2 linked regions of the Rhinolophus ferrumequinum genome follow. The protein of the gene in region 2 interacts with the protein of the main gene of each other region in a biochemical or structural test. Links are inferred from orthologs where the notes say so. Each region holds a gene or a part of one and is shown on either strand. Other genes may lie near its edges.

Region 1 (7,869 bases), about 160 kb from region 2:
GCTTTTGAGGTCTCCTCTGCCTAGAATACTACTCCCCCACCAGCCACCTGGCCTGCTCCCTCCCTTCCTCAAGTCTACACTCAACTGTCACCCTTTTAAAGAGACCCTCCCCTGACCACACTTATAAAATGCTAACCATCAAAGAGTGGCTGAATGAAATGTCATTATCTCCATGCCACGGAGTACTATGCAGCTGTACAAAAGGACTGAGGATGATCTCTGTGAAATGGTATGGAATGATTTTCCAGACATATGGTTAATTGGCAAAAACAAGGTACAAAAGAATACACAGTGTCTGTTACCTGCTGTTTAACAAAGGGAGTTAGAAAAAAACATATGTATCTGTTCATATCTGCAAATAGAAACAAGAAAGATAAAACAGAAACAAATTATATGTTTATGGGGGGAAGGAAGAGGAGGCAATAAGATTGCTCCCAGCATATCTTTTTACATAGTTTTGATTTGAACCATGTTAATATATTACACATTTAAAAATTAAAGCCGGGGGGGGGACCCTAAAATTGAATAGAAACATAAATAAATGCAACTATACGAGTATATAAATTGATACACAACCACCCAGAAGAAAAAAAAAGATTAATCCAAGAAACTTTAAAATCCAGTATTCTGTACATATTCAGTGGGGAAGTATGGCCACTGGATGCTAAAACATCGGTGAAAGATCGTGGGGGAAGAGAACAGTCACACAATGTCAAAGTATCAATAAATCGCATGCTATTTACAAAGGGGAAAGGGATCTCTACAATGGAGAAATCTGGTAAACCTCCCTTTAACCAAATAATCCAAGGTAACATCTGTAATAATGGGACAAATGGACTGCATCTGCCCCTGACGAGGTGCACGGAGGAGACAACACACCCACGAGAAATTCCTGCCAAGAAAGTTTTAACCAGAATCTAATTACAAGGAAAACAGACAATCCAAATCAAGGGACATTTTATAAAACTACTGGTCCAGATTTTTCATAAATGGTGATGTCATAAAGCACAAAGCTCTATGAGGGAAAATGAGTCACACTGTTTCGGTGGTAATGGTTCTATGACTTACTGAAGACCAAGTGTCCTTAGAAAACATGTTGAAATATTGGGAGATAAGGCAACGCCCAAACGGTTCAGCACAAAAAAAAATCTTTTCAGTGTATGTGTGTACTGGCTCCCCCTGCCGCGACTCTAATGTAAATTTCACAAAGGCAGGGAGGAGTCTGTTCCTTGCAGCATCTCCAGGCCCTGGTACAGTGCCTGACACATACTCCATACTCGGTATTTGTTGAATGACTGGTGTTCACAATCATTCTGTGAAGTCGATACTGTTATTATCCTTTGTCTCGTGTGACTGGTGCTCTCTGTCTTCAAAGACAAAGATCCTGAGGCACACAGAAGTTAGCTCACTCCTACAAGTTATAACTCAGGTGAGGGGTGGGGCCCCGGTCTGACACCTGAGCATCTGACTCTAGAGCTGATGCTGTCAATCACAGGTAAGCAGCTTCCCTAGCGAGGCAGGCTCCGCCCCCGAGGGCTCGCCTTCTGCAGGGTGTCCCATACATCAGCCTTGTCCTTAAGGCAAGGCCTATTCAGAACAGGTGGTATTCATACTCGCTGAATGAATACATGAAGTAGGGGGCAGAGACCTCCCTGAGGAAACTGTTCAGAGAATCTTGTGGAGGAGGTGGGACTTGATGGGTAAATTGGGTTTTCAGTGGAAGACAGACCACAGGTTCAGGGAGCAGTGACCAAAGGTGCATTCTGGGGCCAAGGAGAGACCAGCTCATCTGGAAGAGGAGAGTCACCCCACCCAGTCATGCGCTGTGTATGTTGCTCCCTCTTTCCCATAGCCACCGGCATATGAAACCCACAAGCCCTCTGGGCCCTTAATGGTCTCTGCCCTGGCCTCCCTGTCTCCAATTCCTCTGGACTGCAATCCTTCCTCTTTGGTGCTGACAGATTATTCTTCCAAAGTGCATGGTTCTGATGCTGTCAGGCCCAGAAAGAGTTAGTTCTCCTTTGCCTGCAGAAGATCATCCAAAGTCCCAAAAGGGACAATCAGGGCTCCACCATGCAGCCTCAAGGTCCCGTGGGCACACCGACTCCGCATTGCCCAAGCTCACCCTGTTCACTCTGCTCCCCTGTCTTCTCTTGGAATCTTGTCCCCCATCGTGGCATGTCCACATCCCACCTGTCCTGAGGCCAGGTTCAAATACCCTCCCTTCCTTGAAATCTTTGCTTCACAAAAGATATTTGATTTCTCCCCTCTGCACACCCATAACACTTTATGTTTAACCTCTCTTGACATTTACTTCTGTGCCTTGTAACGTAGGTTCTTTGAGCTTATCTCAGCTTTCCTGTCACGCTGGCTGGCGGGCACCGACTCACCGCAGTCAAGCGCGTCGGACCCGCTACCCAGACCCCGTTCCGGAAAAGTTCACAGGTGGGGCAAGCAGTTCAAGTTCTCGGCGAAGGTACCTCGCCAGTAACTCAACAGCCACTAGACTCAGAAAAAAAGGCACATCCTTTCGGAGGAACACTGGGTGGAGTCGGGGCCGTGGGGTCACCAGAGACAGGAAACAGTGCGTGGGGGTGAAACGAGGCGGAATCCCGCCCCTCTTGAATCCAACGCGAGTCAAGTGCCTACCTTTCAAGTTTCTTCCTGCGCACCCAAGGGGACTTGCTGGTGAAATGACAACTCTCCTGACAAGGTCCCTCTGGCTGCGTTTCTCCGCGTCCCGTCCCCGTCCCATCCTGAACCCAACTTCCAGTCGCCTCGCCCCACCCCACCCCACCCCGTCCACCCGGCTCCGGACGCGTGGGGCTACGGACACCCCCGGCGCTGCCCAGTCCCTGCGGGGGCTCCGGGGAAAGCCGCCACTCACCGAACGGGAGCAAGCAGACCAGGCCGAGGACCACCAGGGCCCATCGCTCCGCGCTCCCCGAGACCATAGTTCTCACCGGCCTCCGCGCCTAGGCGCCAGCGAGTTGTGTGCCAGAGCCAGGCGCCACCGCTGTACCCCGGAAGGTCCCGCCCCGCTGGTCCCGCCCAGCCCAAGTCCTGTCGTCAGGGATCCGAAGCACTTCCTTTTTCCCCCGCGTGGGAGGCGGGGTGCAGTCTCACCACCCCTGTGAGCGCTCCCGGAGCGGGTGCAATCCCGCCCGTCCTCGCACTTTCCCGAGGGAGCCTCTTGGCGCGATCCTGCGCCGGGGGGGGGGGGGGGGGGGGGGGGGGGGGGGGGGGGGGGGGGGCCCTTTCCTCTATATTTGGAATGCCCTCTAGTCTCCCCAGTGGGTCCCCTTGTTGTCCCCCAGCCCCCACCGCCACGCCCCCATCGCCAACACCCTGTATGCTTTGCGGAATTTTCCCTTAAAAGTGGCTTGCGTTTTAAAAAGCAGGCTGTCATGCTGGGGGGGGGGGGGGGTCGCTGGTCCCACTCCCAACATAAGAACGCAGGATATGGCGAGGCCAAAAGGGAACACCAATGGAGCCACAGACAGGGGGTTCATACCACTATATTCTCACAGACGCCTGGGTTGCAGATATAGGAAGCTGGAGCCACATGATCTGCAATCTGCCCACTCGTTTGCTAACCACACCTGCTAGCTGCAATCCGTGCTTCTCTGCCAACCAACAACCTTGCTGGTCGCACTCTGCCCTTGCTAATTTAGCCACAGCAGTTATGTTAGTGGCCAATGGTTAACTGGTTATAGCTGACGGCCATCTACTACCCGAGCCAGCCCCTTTGCACATGAGGTGTGGAGAGCCTAGAAACTGCTTTCTGGGACTCGGTCCCCACACAGGTTTGTGTTCGTTCCTTCCGCACCTCCAGCTCATCTCTTTGGCATTTGGAGAGTGGTTGTCACTCCCGCAAAGCGGCGCCGCACTCGGCTAGCCCCTGACATGACAGAACTCTGCCGAAGGACAGAGAGGCTCCGAAGCACTTTATTCCTTCAGTGCTTTGTAGCAGCAGCAGCAGCAGAAGCGTGAAGCTTGTTTCTCTGCCAGTTACTCAGCTATGGGGACTCGGGACAAGACAGCCTCTTTAAGCCACTCTTTCCTCAAATATTAAAAAAGGAAACAGGGAATGTTAGACGACTCCTAGAATGTGTGTGGTGACTGGTGCAGCCCCTCAAATACCAGTCTTTCCTTCCTCATTTACGTGCATGCCACCTTTGCTTCAGCCTGACCTCCACTCCCAGCACTGCCTTCCCCAGAGCTGGAATTTCCAGGCTTTGGTTTGTCCCTTCTCGATTTCCCTCTTTGTTTTCCTCTTCCTCTGGAGGATGGACTTTCCCTCAGGAGGAGGAGTCAGGTCTGTTCACGCCCTCGCTGTGGAGCCTGCCAAAATCACCCCTAACTGCACCAGGCCCTTGGAACTCTCCATCCTATGGATTAGTTTTCTCCATTGGCTTCCCCTCCCTTCAAATCCGTCTGATTCCATATCAGATGACTCGCAGAACCAGCCCGTTACATCAGCCTCCCTAGTCGCCCCCTTTCTTTCAGGCAGAAGCACTGGACTTGCCCCTGCACAGCTGTAGCGTTAAGGGAACTCTTTCCTGCCAGGAACAGGACCCCGGCTATCCTAACAAACACCAACATATTGCCAAGTGTGCAACTGAGTGGAAATGTTTGAGGATTGCTGTCATCACCGTCGTCCTCAGGTGGGGACCCCAAAACCACTCAAGACACTTGGACTAGACGGTAAGAATTGGTGGGTTGTTTCTTAAATTAGCCATAAAATCTTACAAGGTATCTCGAGCAGTGACATTTCAGGTCTGTTCACACCAATGGACTGTATCATGAAGCCTGACACTTGAAGATATTCCCTACCCGTTTGTAGCTATGGAGAACGTGAGGCAGGTGCAGTGTGTAGCACAAAATGTGAGAAAATCAAGTGTCTCCTCTGCCCTGCGCTGGTAAGAACTCTGGCCAACTTGGAAAGGTAGGATGGGGTCACACCTCGAGACACTGGGGAGCCCCTGAAAGTTTTTGAGCTAGGAAGTCACGTAACAGCAAACATCTGTTGAGCACTTACGATGAGCCAGGTCCTGTGTTGTGTATTCCCTGGATTAATTTAATCTTATTGCTGTCCCTATTTTTACAGCTGAGGCAACTGAGGATCAGAGAAGGTAAGTGACTTGCCCAAGGACACACAGTATGGGGTAGAACTAGGAGTCCCACGGAAGCTAAGTCCCACGTGCCACTCTTACCCTTCCATACAGGAGCAGGATGCACCTTTGGGGTGGGCACTCAGGCTGCTGTTTGGCCTGGCCAGCAGGAGCAGCCAACACCCTCTACGGCAGGGCTGAGGAAAGGACTACCCAGTCATGTGGGGCTGGGAGGTAACCCCCAGGTCATGGTCTCCAGGCATCTGGTGAGGAATGATTCATTAGGTCGTCATTCATTAGGTTGTTGGACGCTCCTCTGACCAACAGGAAGGACAGCTCTTTCATTAAGAGAGGGGCTGTGCTCCCACCAAGCACTTTTAGAAGCACTTATATGCCTGGTCCAGCAGACTTCATGAATCAAAAGTGACTCTGAAAGGCTGGACCTGCAGTGCCTCAGGCTGGGGTCCAAAAAGGCTCTATTTCATATACTGCAGACTTGCCACCGAAAAGAGGGCTGAATGTATGTTTCATCCCGTGACCAGTCTTGAGAGGTCCAGTTTCATCTGCTTGTCACTGTAGATAATGATGGACTAAGAGGTAAGAAAGGAGGACTCCTTTAGCCGGCTCTTATGGCACGGGGTTGCTGCTCCTGCTAGCATGTCCCTCCTGATACTCTGGCTCTACTTCTTCCCAGTCTTGGAACTACCCCCAGGAAGCTTCTGTATACACATCCTAGAATTTAAAGAGGAAAACACTGCTCCTGATCCTGCAGAAATGAGAATCGTTCTTGCCTCTTGCAGAAGTGTGCATTCACTTCATTTATATAAACACGGGGCAGATTTGCACCAGGGGCGTCAAGGGGTATTCTCATTTTGTAACTCTGTTTTCCTTTCTCAAATGGTCCCTGGCAGAAAGAGAACATTTGGGAAAAATGAAGCAAAAATATCTCATGAGACTTAACATGGAACCAACCATTGTGCGTACCCAATGGAAAAACAGGCCCATTTCAACACTGGCCAAGCAAGCAGCTGTGAGAAGTTGATAAGGGTGCAGCAAATGAGGATGTAGAACAGAGGAAACCACACATTCAAGCCTTTGAAAGGCTTACATTTTAAAAGGAAGAAAAAGAAAAGGAGGCACCTCCCTCTGCTTATTACCCTCTATCCAGTTCCTTTTGCATGTTCTTCAGTGAATTTTAAAGAATCACAGAGAGGTTCTGACTGTGTGTCACCATGATGGCTTTAATCTTTCTGTCATTCTCACCTTGCAGACGCGGTGAACTCCTCCCACACACCGCAGCCTCCAAGCTGTGCAGGGAACAGAGACGGGTGAGCTGTGCATCCTCACCAAACAGGAATGCACAGCTCCTGCTCCTTCCTCCATTCCTGGAAAATGCTGGCTGAATATTTCACGGTATAGTTTGAGGAAGATGGTGGGCTCTGGCTGCAGAGGCCCTCGACGGCCAAGGAGAAGGCTGGCCCATGTTCCCGATCTCCTTCTCCGTCAGTCTCCTCACCCCATTCTGCCCACCCGTCTTTCCTCCGCAAAAAGAACAGGGTATAAACTCTACATTCTGCACCCGCCTAGCAGGCCTCCAGGTGCTTTGTGTGTTGCACAACTGAAGGGGCAGTATAGCCCTGCCTGTCAGGATACACGTGTGTCTTTATTGTGATACATGTCAGCAGATGACAGCAGGGTGTCTTGAGAAAAGAGTGTTTTGTTATCATTTGTACAAAGCCACCACTTAGGCTGGGGGTGGGGCATGATGATAAAGGCTGCAATCCATGAACCTTGAGCCTAGCAGGTCAACGTCAGGGGCAGGACTCACTCTAGACCTTCAGGACACAGGTTGATGGAGGACAGTCGCTGCTGATTACGTGAGGAGAAAGGACAGTGGACTCCAGGAAATATAAACAGCCGTATTTTCAACATAATTTACTACAGGTGTCTGAAGTGTATATAAAACATTTTAGTGCAACATCTTACAAATCGTTTTCCTTAAAAAAAAAAAAAAACAAGCGAAAAAATCAACAGCTCTCTACACCATGCACGGGTAGTTTTCTTATCCCACCTCTTTTTTTCTTCAACAATTAACGCAGAGAAACCACTGTTTGACAAGAATATGAAAACTTGCTACAGAAACACCCTGGTGAGAGAGGGTGCGGTCATATCCATATCCTGGGATGGGCCTAGCCCACTGCAGGTTTCATGAATGCAATATCGTTGATAAGAAAAGTCTGTCTGTCCTGGTCGGAGGACTGAAGGCTCCAGTCCGCTATGTGCAATGAGGTCTCCCAGCCACTGGAGGGCACCATTACCACTCATCTGACACCACATTTCCATAGAAATGGCCAAAGAAAGAAGGTCCTGGGGATTTTCATAGAAAGCTAGAAAAACTCACCCTTTGACTGTATTCCCCAGCCCGTTAGAAAATACACAGAAAAAAAAAACACAATTATTAAAATACTGGCTTCGGGTTTTTTTTTTTCCTTTCAAATTTCCCACAACTGCTTCACCTATTTAATAATGTGCAGAACACACTTTTCTACAGCTGTGAACCAATTCAAACTCAAATCTTAGGTACAGGGCCCAGTCCCAGACAGCCCTCTGGCGTCTTTCCATTCAGAGAGAGGAACAGTAAGCTATCTTCCCTCACTGACTCAGTCCATTTAGGGGTCACCAATTTCCCACTGAAAGCTCACACCCCTGAAATAGAGAAATGAGGCAGAAGACTGCCTTCCTTCCTTTCCACTGA
Region 2 (7,198 bases):
GGCAGTGACAATGGCACAGATTCTGACCTTGAGGCTGGTGTGACCACCTAGACGCAGCACAGCAGGGACCAGGCTGCAAACAGACACACGGTGTGGTCTTTCTGAGCTTCTCTGAAGCCACGGCATAGTCAGTTTTCAGTGTAAATGCTACACGCTGGCCTCCTTTCTCGTGCTTCTCACCTGAATTTATGGGAAGATGTAACAAGGCACCAAAGAGAGGAAACAGATGTCATGTAGAAGGGTGAGGGTGGACTTGATTCCTGAACTGGGGGGGCCTGTGTGGTGTGCGAGGCAAGATGACCGTGAGGTCTCAGCAGAAAGCAGACGGTGCCCCAGAGTTTGGAGCACAGGTCCCAGGGGCCGGAGGTGAGGCCGCTGATATGGACGAAGCTCCCTGGGCTCGGGATGCTCAACTGACATGTGGGGAGGAGACCTGATTCCTTTCTGAATGTCTTTCGGCTCTACAAATCTAACAACACAAGACGTTCCGTTGGGTGTGAACTGCCACAGTGGTAGCGCGACCTGGTTCTTGCTGGCTCTTTATCTCGATACAGATAGAGGGAGGTGGGGGTCAGCACCGGAGGAATGTCACTAGTCAGGGATGGGCATTTGTCCCTAAAGCAAGACCTCTGAGCATGCTGTCTTCCTCTATCTGCTTCTTACTGTCTTCCCTTTAGTCTGTTTCCTTAGGAGGGCTAGTTTGGGTAAGAAAAAGAATCAGAGAAGATAGAGCAAGAGACAACCCCTCACCTGCAGTGAGTTCGGTGAGGGAGAGACTGGAATGAGTCATCGATGGATTTTCCCAGAACCTCATACACAGAGGCAGGGACTGTACCCACACTCAGTACTGGGCGCTTTTGCCTAAGTGGGAGGCTTACTTAGCATTAACAAGAAATCACTTGGAAAGCAATATATGTTCACTTTAGAAATATTAGAATAGCGACAACAACCAAATACAACAGAATGATAGCCGTTATCCCACCACCCAGGGCCAACACCCTGGTGGATTTCCTTCCAAAAGACACACACTTTTGGAGAAAACAAAAATGGGATTATATTGTTTGTCGTGACCTTTTTCCCCCATATTCAGTTGGTCATATCACGGTTTATTTAACCAATTTCCTTCTCTTGGACATTTAAATTGTTTCCAGTTTTGACTTATAAAAAAGACTACAGATATATAAACATCTAGCCAAGTCTTACAAGTCCTTCATTATTTCCATAGGATAAAATAGTTATTTTGAACTTGTTAGGTCAAAATAGAAATATTTTTGATGCTTGTGATTCACACTGACAAACTGTCCACCAGAAACTCTAGACCTATGTGCATTTCTACTGACCACGTACAAGAATGTGTTTTCACCATCATTGACACAATATATTTTCATTGTTAAAATGAAAGATGAAAAAATGCATCTAAATTAAAGTTTACATTTTCCGTATTAATAAATCGACATTTTCATATGCTTGTTGTTCAATTTTATTTCTTCTTTTGTGAATTGTCCCATGTACGACCTTGACCTATTTTAATATCAAGGTGTCTGTTCTTTCCACGTTTTACAAGAAAATTTTAATTTCAACGGTAATAACCTTTGTCATATATCTTGCAAATAATTTCCCCCTTTTAGTACTGTGTCTTTTAAAATTTTTTTTTATGGCTTTTTACGTACAAAAGTTTTAAATGTTCCATGTAAGATCTATTGATCCCTTTCGTTTTCACAGTTTTTGTTCTGGAAGCCATGCTCATTACTCAAAATTGAATGAGATGTGAGAGGAGCAGAATTAATGTTTCAAAAGGAAGAACAGAAAGCTTCTCTCCACTTGCTCCATGAGAATGTAAGAAAAACTATCAAGAAAGTGGGAGGAAGAGGAGGCAACTTTTCTCAAAAGTTGAGGCAGGTTTTATGATGACCATTATCCCATCGTCTGGACCAGGCCGTGAAAGGCTGGACAGCTGGCTAATGGGTTAGCCACTCACAAGCAGAGACACGAGATACTCATGGTTTCTTAGGATCTGCATTTACTTTTGATAAAACATGTGTGACTTAAGTGTCCTCTATTTTAAAAAAAACTTTTCATTATAAAAATGATAAGCGCTCGTTACCAAAATTTCTGACTTCACAGACATCGATGAAGTAAAAAGCGAGTTTCTTTTCAGCCTCCTCAAAATCTAAGTCCTGAAAGGTAAACACTGACAAAAGTTCAGCATGAATCCTTCCAGACTTTTCTCCATGCATATACTAATTATAATATAATAATAATACAATATAATATAACCTAATACAATATAATGTAGTATATTCTTACTCTTAGGTCCACTTTATTCTGTTTTAACTGTTATACAATATTTCTTGATATGAATATACCATAATTATAGTTGTTTGCAAATTTTTTTATTACAAAAAAATGCTACAGCAAACATCCTTGAACAGAAGTTTTGCACATATAGGCAAATATTTGTGTACACTAGATTTCTCGAATTAAATGTGTAAAGTCAAAAAATATATGTATTTTCAAGTTTGGTGGAAATTGTCAAATTTCACCCCCCAGGACATATGGATTCACAACCCCTCCAGTATTGTATGAAGGGCCCTATTTCTCCTATATTCTTGTCAATAATGTAAATTATTTTTTCTAATTCTGCCAATCTGATGGCGAAAATGGTATTTTGTGGCTATGATATATACATATTTTTTTTTTTCCTTTTTCTTTTTGGTGACATTAGACGTCTTCTCATATGTTTATTGACATTTCTTCTATAAACAGCTCATTTATATTTTTTGCCCAATTTAAAAACTGAGTTTTCTTTTTCTTATTGATTGATAGGAATAATTTATGTATCTTGGATATTGGTAATTTTTCGTATATATGACTATTTCCTGTCATGTCTTTTCATTTTGTTCACTATCTCTTTGCCTATACATAAATGTTACATTTTTATGCAGTCAATTATATCCATCTTTTCTTTATCACTTTTGGATCATATAGCATATGTCGGTATGCCTTCCATACTCAAAGATATGAAAATGTCTATGTTTTTTAACACTGTTATAGGTTTTTAACATTTAAAAATTTAATCCAATTGTAGTTTGTTTTTGTGGATGATGTAAGTTAGGGATTTGTAATAATCATGAGGTAAATATTTATTAGGCCTTCCTTTACTTGACTTAATTTCATTCCGGGGCAACTTTTTGAGAGATCATATTGGTATTTGTACCTAAGGTTGAAACAGAAAACAAGCACAATTTTTAAGATTTTTATTGCCTCTATTCTAAAGAATTATAAAACTGGAAATTTGTTTTGGAAAACTGTCTCTGGGTGTAATTTTTTTCTGTGAGTAGATCTTTTCTGTGTGTATGCATCAATGTATCACTTTCTTTTCCCGTATCACAAATTTCTTTTTTCTTTCTCTTTCGCATTCCTCTCTCAATTTTCTTTTTCTCCGTATCTGTTCTTTTCTTTAATCATCTATAGTGTTAACCATCTCAAATGTTTTTTGAATCATTTGTTTTCGTTGTTTAATAGTATTTCATAGTCTCTCTGCACTTTCGTTTGTTTTGCAACAAGTTTGTTTTGTGTTTTTTTTTTAATTTATCTAACTGTGAATGTCAATAGAGTCGTTAACACTAAATGTAAGATTTGGGTAGTTCAAGCATTTACAGCTGAGACTCACTTTATATTTGTTTCTTTTTTATCACAAAACAAGTTTAGAACTTTAAATAAAAACACCTTTTGAGGAAGAGAAAAAAAATCTGCTTTTCTAATTATTTCATATGCATTTATTTTCCAATATGTATAATCATAGAATAAATGTTGTATTCTGCTATTCATTTATGAAAATTTACCTCTATTTCGATGTGGTTTTGTTAGAGGCTTTATAGCTGAATGGATAGAAGATGGGTTGTACAGTTGAATTGGCCTCCTTTATAACTAAAGGGTGATCTTAAGTGATTTGTTTAGCCTCTCAGTTTCTGTCTCTTCAATGGGGGTAATGAAACCCACCCAAGATTGTTGTGAGAATTTAAATGCGATAGGAAAACACACTCATGAGTACACCCACTTTGACAAAGGAGCTTATCAGCAGGGTTGGTTTGCTGCGTGAGTGAGTGTGTGTGTGTGTGTGTGTGTGTGTGCACGCGCGCACGCGCATATTTGTACTTTTTATGCTACTATAAAAGAAGCAAAAAACAGAGACACGTGGTTAAGCTCCCAGGGGTGGATTCTACCAGTTTTACTTTAGTTCCTCCTTTTATAAGAGCTCAGAATCACAACAAGGAAACTAACCCCAAAGATGAGCTTCGCATGTCAAATCTTAGCCAACTTCCTTCTGATTTTCATCTGTTTTACCAAAGGTACGTTGGTGTGTGGGTCAGGTACGTTGGTGTGTGGGTCTCCATGGTCTCCATTAGAAGCTTCTTTGGAGACTCTGAGCTGGGCCAAAGAGGTCACAGGTCAGCTTTCCCTGGCAGTGAGTTTCAAGACCTCAGTAACTGTCTTGCTTTTTATAGGTGCAGCTCCTACAGACATTATAGTCCTGGGTAAGCTGGGTCATGACATCAACCTGAACATTCCTGAGTTTCAAATGAATGATACTGTAGATGATATAAAATGGGGAAAAAATTCAACCAAGGTTGCACAATACTCAGTCAAGAAGAAAACTTACCAGCGAGAGGAAAAATACCACATATTTAAAAACGGAACTCTGAAAATTAAACGTCTGGAGAGAAATGACAGCGGTACTTACAAGGCAGAAGTATATGATTGGTATGGAAAACACATTCTTGGAAAACAATTTGATTTAAGGATTCTAGGTAAGTCTTTGTTCCTTACATTCTTCCATCTCAATATGGGTGCTATTTAGCAAGTTGGGGAATGGCATTTATGGAATGTGCCCAGGCATGACCTTGGCCTTGGGGGAGCCCCAAAGGTAATCTAATGCATGCCTCTTACCTCAGTAGAGGCTCCCATCTTGTGGGAGAGGTGAAATCCACACGTGGAAATCCACAGCTGACAGAACTTCAAGTCTACCTGCCTAAAATTGTCTCTTTAGTAGTTATTGGAATATGGGCATTAACCACAAGGTGGGCAGAAGAAAAAGGTGGGCATCCCAGGTTGATGATGAAGGGGCAAGCTAGGTGTAGAGCGGGGAAAGTGAGGCTGACGGAAGAGCAGTGTATCTTCCAACTAGAGCGACAATTTCAAGCCAGGATGGCCTGGAGAAATAGTTACATGGCAGGCAAGGGCTGAAAATAATGAATGTAAAGATGCACAGCACTTGTTTCTGATCTGCGCCATATCAGAGTGATCCGAGGGAGCAGATGTTTTTGCTGATCTCTGTAGAGAAGACCCAAGGTGTGGCTTACTTCGTATGTCTGTGCTTGTGCCAAGACAGCAGGGGTGCCTACTGCAGACAGAGGCAAGAAAACTAGCCAAGAAGCTGTCACTACAATCTGAGCGCAGTAGAGAGGGGCTGGTTTGTGATTCTTAGTCCTGGTTGCACGTTATAATCAACTGAGATGCTATTAAAAGTTATCAGTGCCCAGATTCCATCCCAGACCAATTAAGTCAGAATTTTCTAGTGTCGGGCCTGGGCATCAGTAGAGTCTAAAGACTCTAAAGAGCAGCCAAGTCTGATAACCACTGGGCTAGACTAACGGGTGCCTAAAATGAGGAAGAGTGAGCCTACTAAGCGTCCTAGGTGGAGAAAGGATGGGCAGGATGGCTTGGGTGTGGAGAGAGGGAAGAGAAAGTGGAATGTAAATGACATGGAAGTTCAAAGCTCAGGGGCCACTTGGTAGGAGGTGATCAGAAATGAGAAGAGGAAACAGCACTTGGCTTGGAGAGGAAGGCAGGAACCCCAATGTTAGCACAAGCCAGCGATTCAGTGAGCAAACAAACATCTATGCTTCACACAGGAAATGCTACCAGCAGCAGGGCCCCCTCCTTCGACAGACCTATGGTCACCCTCCAGCCCTGTTCTCAGCACATGGACCTGGCAGGTTTTCCTCGCCAACAATCCCAGACGTTGTCAGCTCACTGTAAAGGACAACTGTCCACACCCTAGTTCTCAACCTTGCATGGAGAGTACATTCCAGAAATGGGGTGGGGCTGAGAATGGAGCCAGAAGGGGCCTCTGTTTACGGGCCCAGGGAGCCCCAGATCTCAGGACTCCTGCCAGCATGGGCTCTAGTGCTGTGCTTTGAACGTGAACCTCACATTCATTTCTACTTTAGTATTGCAGCGATAATCGTGGCTACCAGCTGGGTGTCAGGGGCTTTGCCTCCATGATCTCAGCTAAGGCTCCCAACAAGCCTGAGCGGTAGCTGTTAGCCGTTTCTTTTCTATAAGGACCCAGAAGTGAGACTTGTCCACAGTCTCACAGGTTGACGGGTGCAAAGTCAAGCTCCAAACCCAGGGCTTCTTTTAACAAGGATGGTGACAGTGTTCTTCCCCAAAAAAACGTAATTGGGATACAATTCACATGCCACAAAATGCACCCATTTAAAGTGAACAATTCGATGGCTTTTAGTATATTCACAGAGTTGTGCAACCGTCACCACACTCAATTTTAGAACACGTTGAGTCCCCTAAAAATAAACCCCGCACTCCCTGGCCAAAAAACAGAGATCTTTCCATGACACAACAGCCACCTTGCTCTGTGTGTATGTGGGGGGGGGGGGCAGGGGGGGGGAGGGGGTGTAAATGTCACCCAGCATCTTAACTCAGTTTTGTGGTCTGGTCACCATTACTTTCCGCATGGCATTGGGTAAAGCTGCTCTGAGTCTGATTTTCATACTAATACTTGCATGGAGTATTCAGTGAGACAAGCAAAGGCACCCTGCAGTGCCTGGGACACAAGGCCTGTTTGCTCAGTGCCCTTCTCTGTCTCATGGTTTCTCTACGCTTCTGCGGGCTGCAGCCTTGCACCCACGTCTCATTAATGAGTGGGCTGCAGCTGCTGGCTGAAAAGGCAGTGGAAAGCTCCTTAAAAGCAGATGTTAGTGGAGAAGGAGTGAATCCTTGCAACCTCGAATTGAGGAGGTCTCATCGATGAGCTCTGCCCCAGCTTGACCTGGCCGTTCCCCTTCTAGGAAGCTGTCTCACAGAGAGGATGTGCACAAAGAAATGGCTTCGAGAGTCTGCTCACCTCTGTGTGGTTTATATTAGTGAAATGCTGGAAAGGATTTAAAAGCCCCCA

Evidence for each region.
Region 1: the proteins of CD2 (region 2) and CD58 form a complex in vitro, tested with the Homo sapiens proteins (3 studies listed by BioGRID and IntAct, with this or other methods). The link is inferred for Rhinolophus ferrumequinum from reciprocal best matches to the Homo sapiens genes CD2 and CD58.

What each region holds. Positions count from the first base shown.
Region 1 is NC_046305.1:46,745,034-46,752,902, forward strand, and holds the start of CD58 (lymphocyte function-associated antigen 3), read right to left. Parts: upstream 3,036-7,869; 5' UTR 2,955-3,035; coding exon 2,888-2,954; intron 1-2,887. UniProt on the Homo sapiens protein: Ligand of the T-lymphocyte CD2 glycoprotein.
Region 2 is NC_046305.1:46,901,388-46,908,585, forward strand, and holds the start of CD2 (T-cell surface antigen CD2), read left to right. Parts: upstream 1-4,194; 5' UTR 4,195-4,291; coding exon 4,292-4,352; intron 4,353-4,508; coding exon 4,509-4,811; intron 4,812-7,198. UniProt on the Homo sapiens protein: CD2 interacts with lymphocyte function-associated antigen CD58 (LFA-3) and CD48/BCM1 to mediate adhesion between T-cells and other cell types. CD2 is implicated in the triggering of T-cells, the cytoplasmic domain is implicated in the signaling function.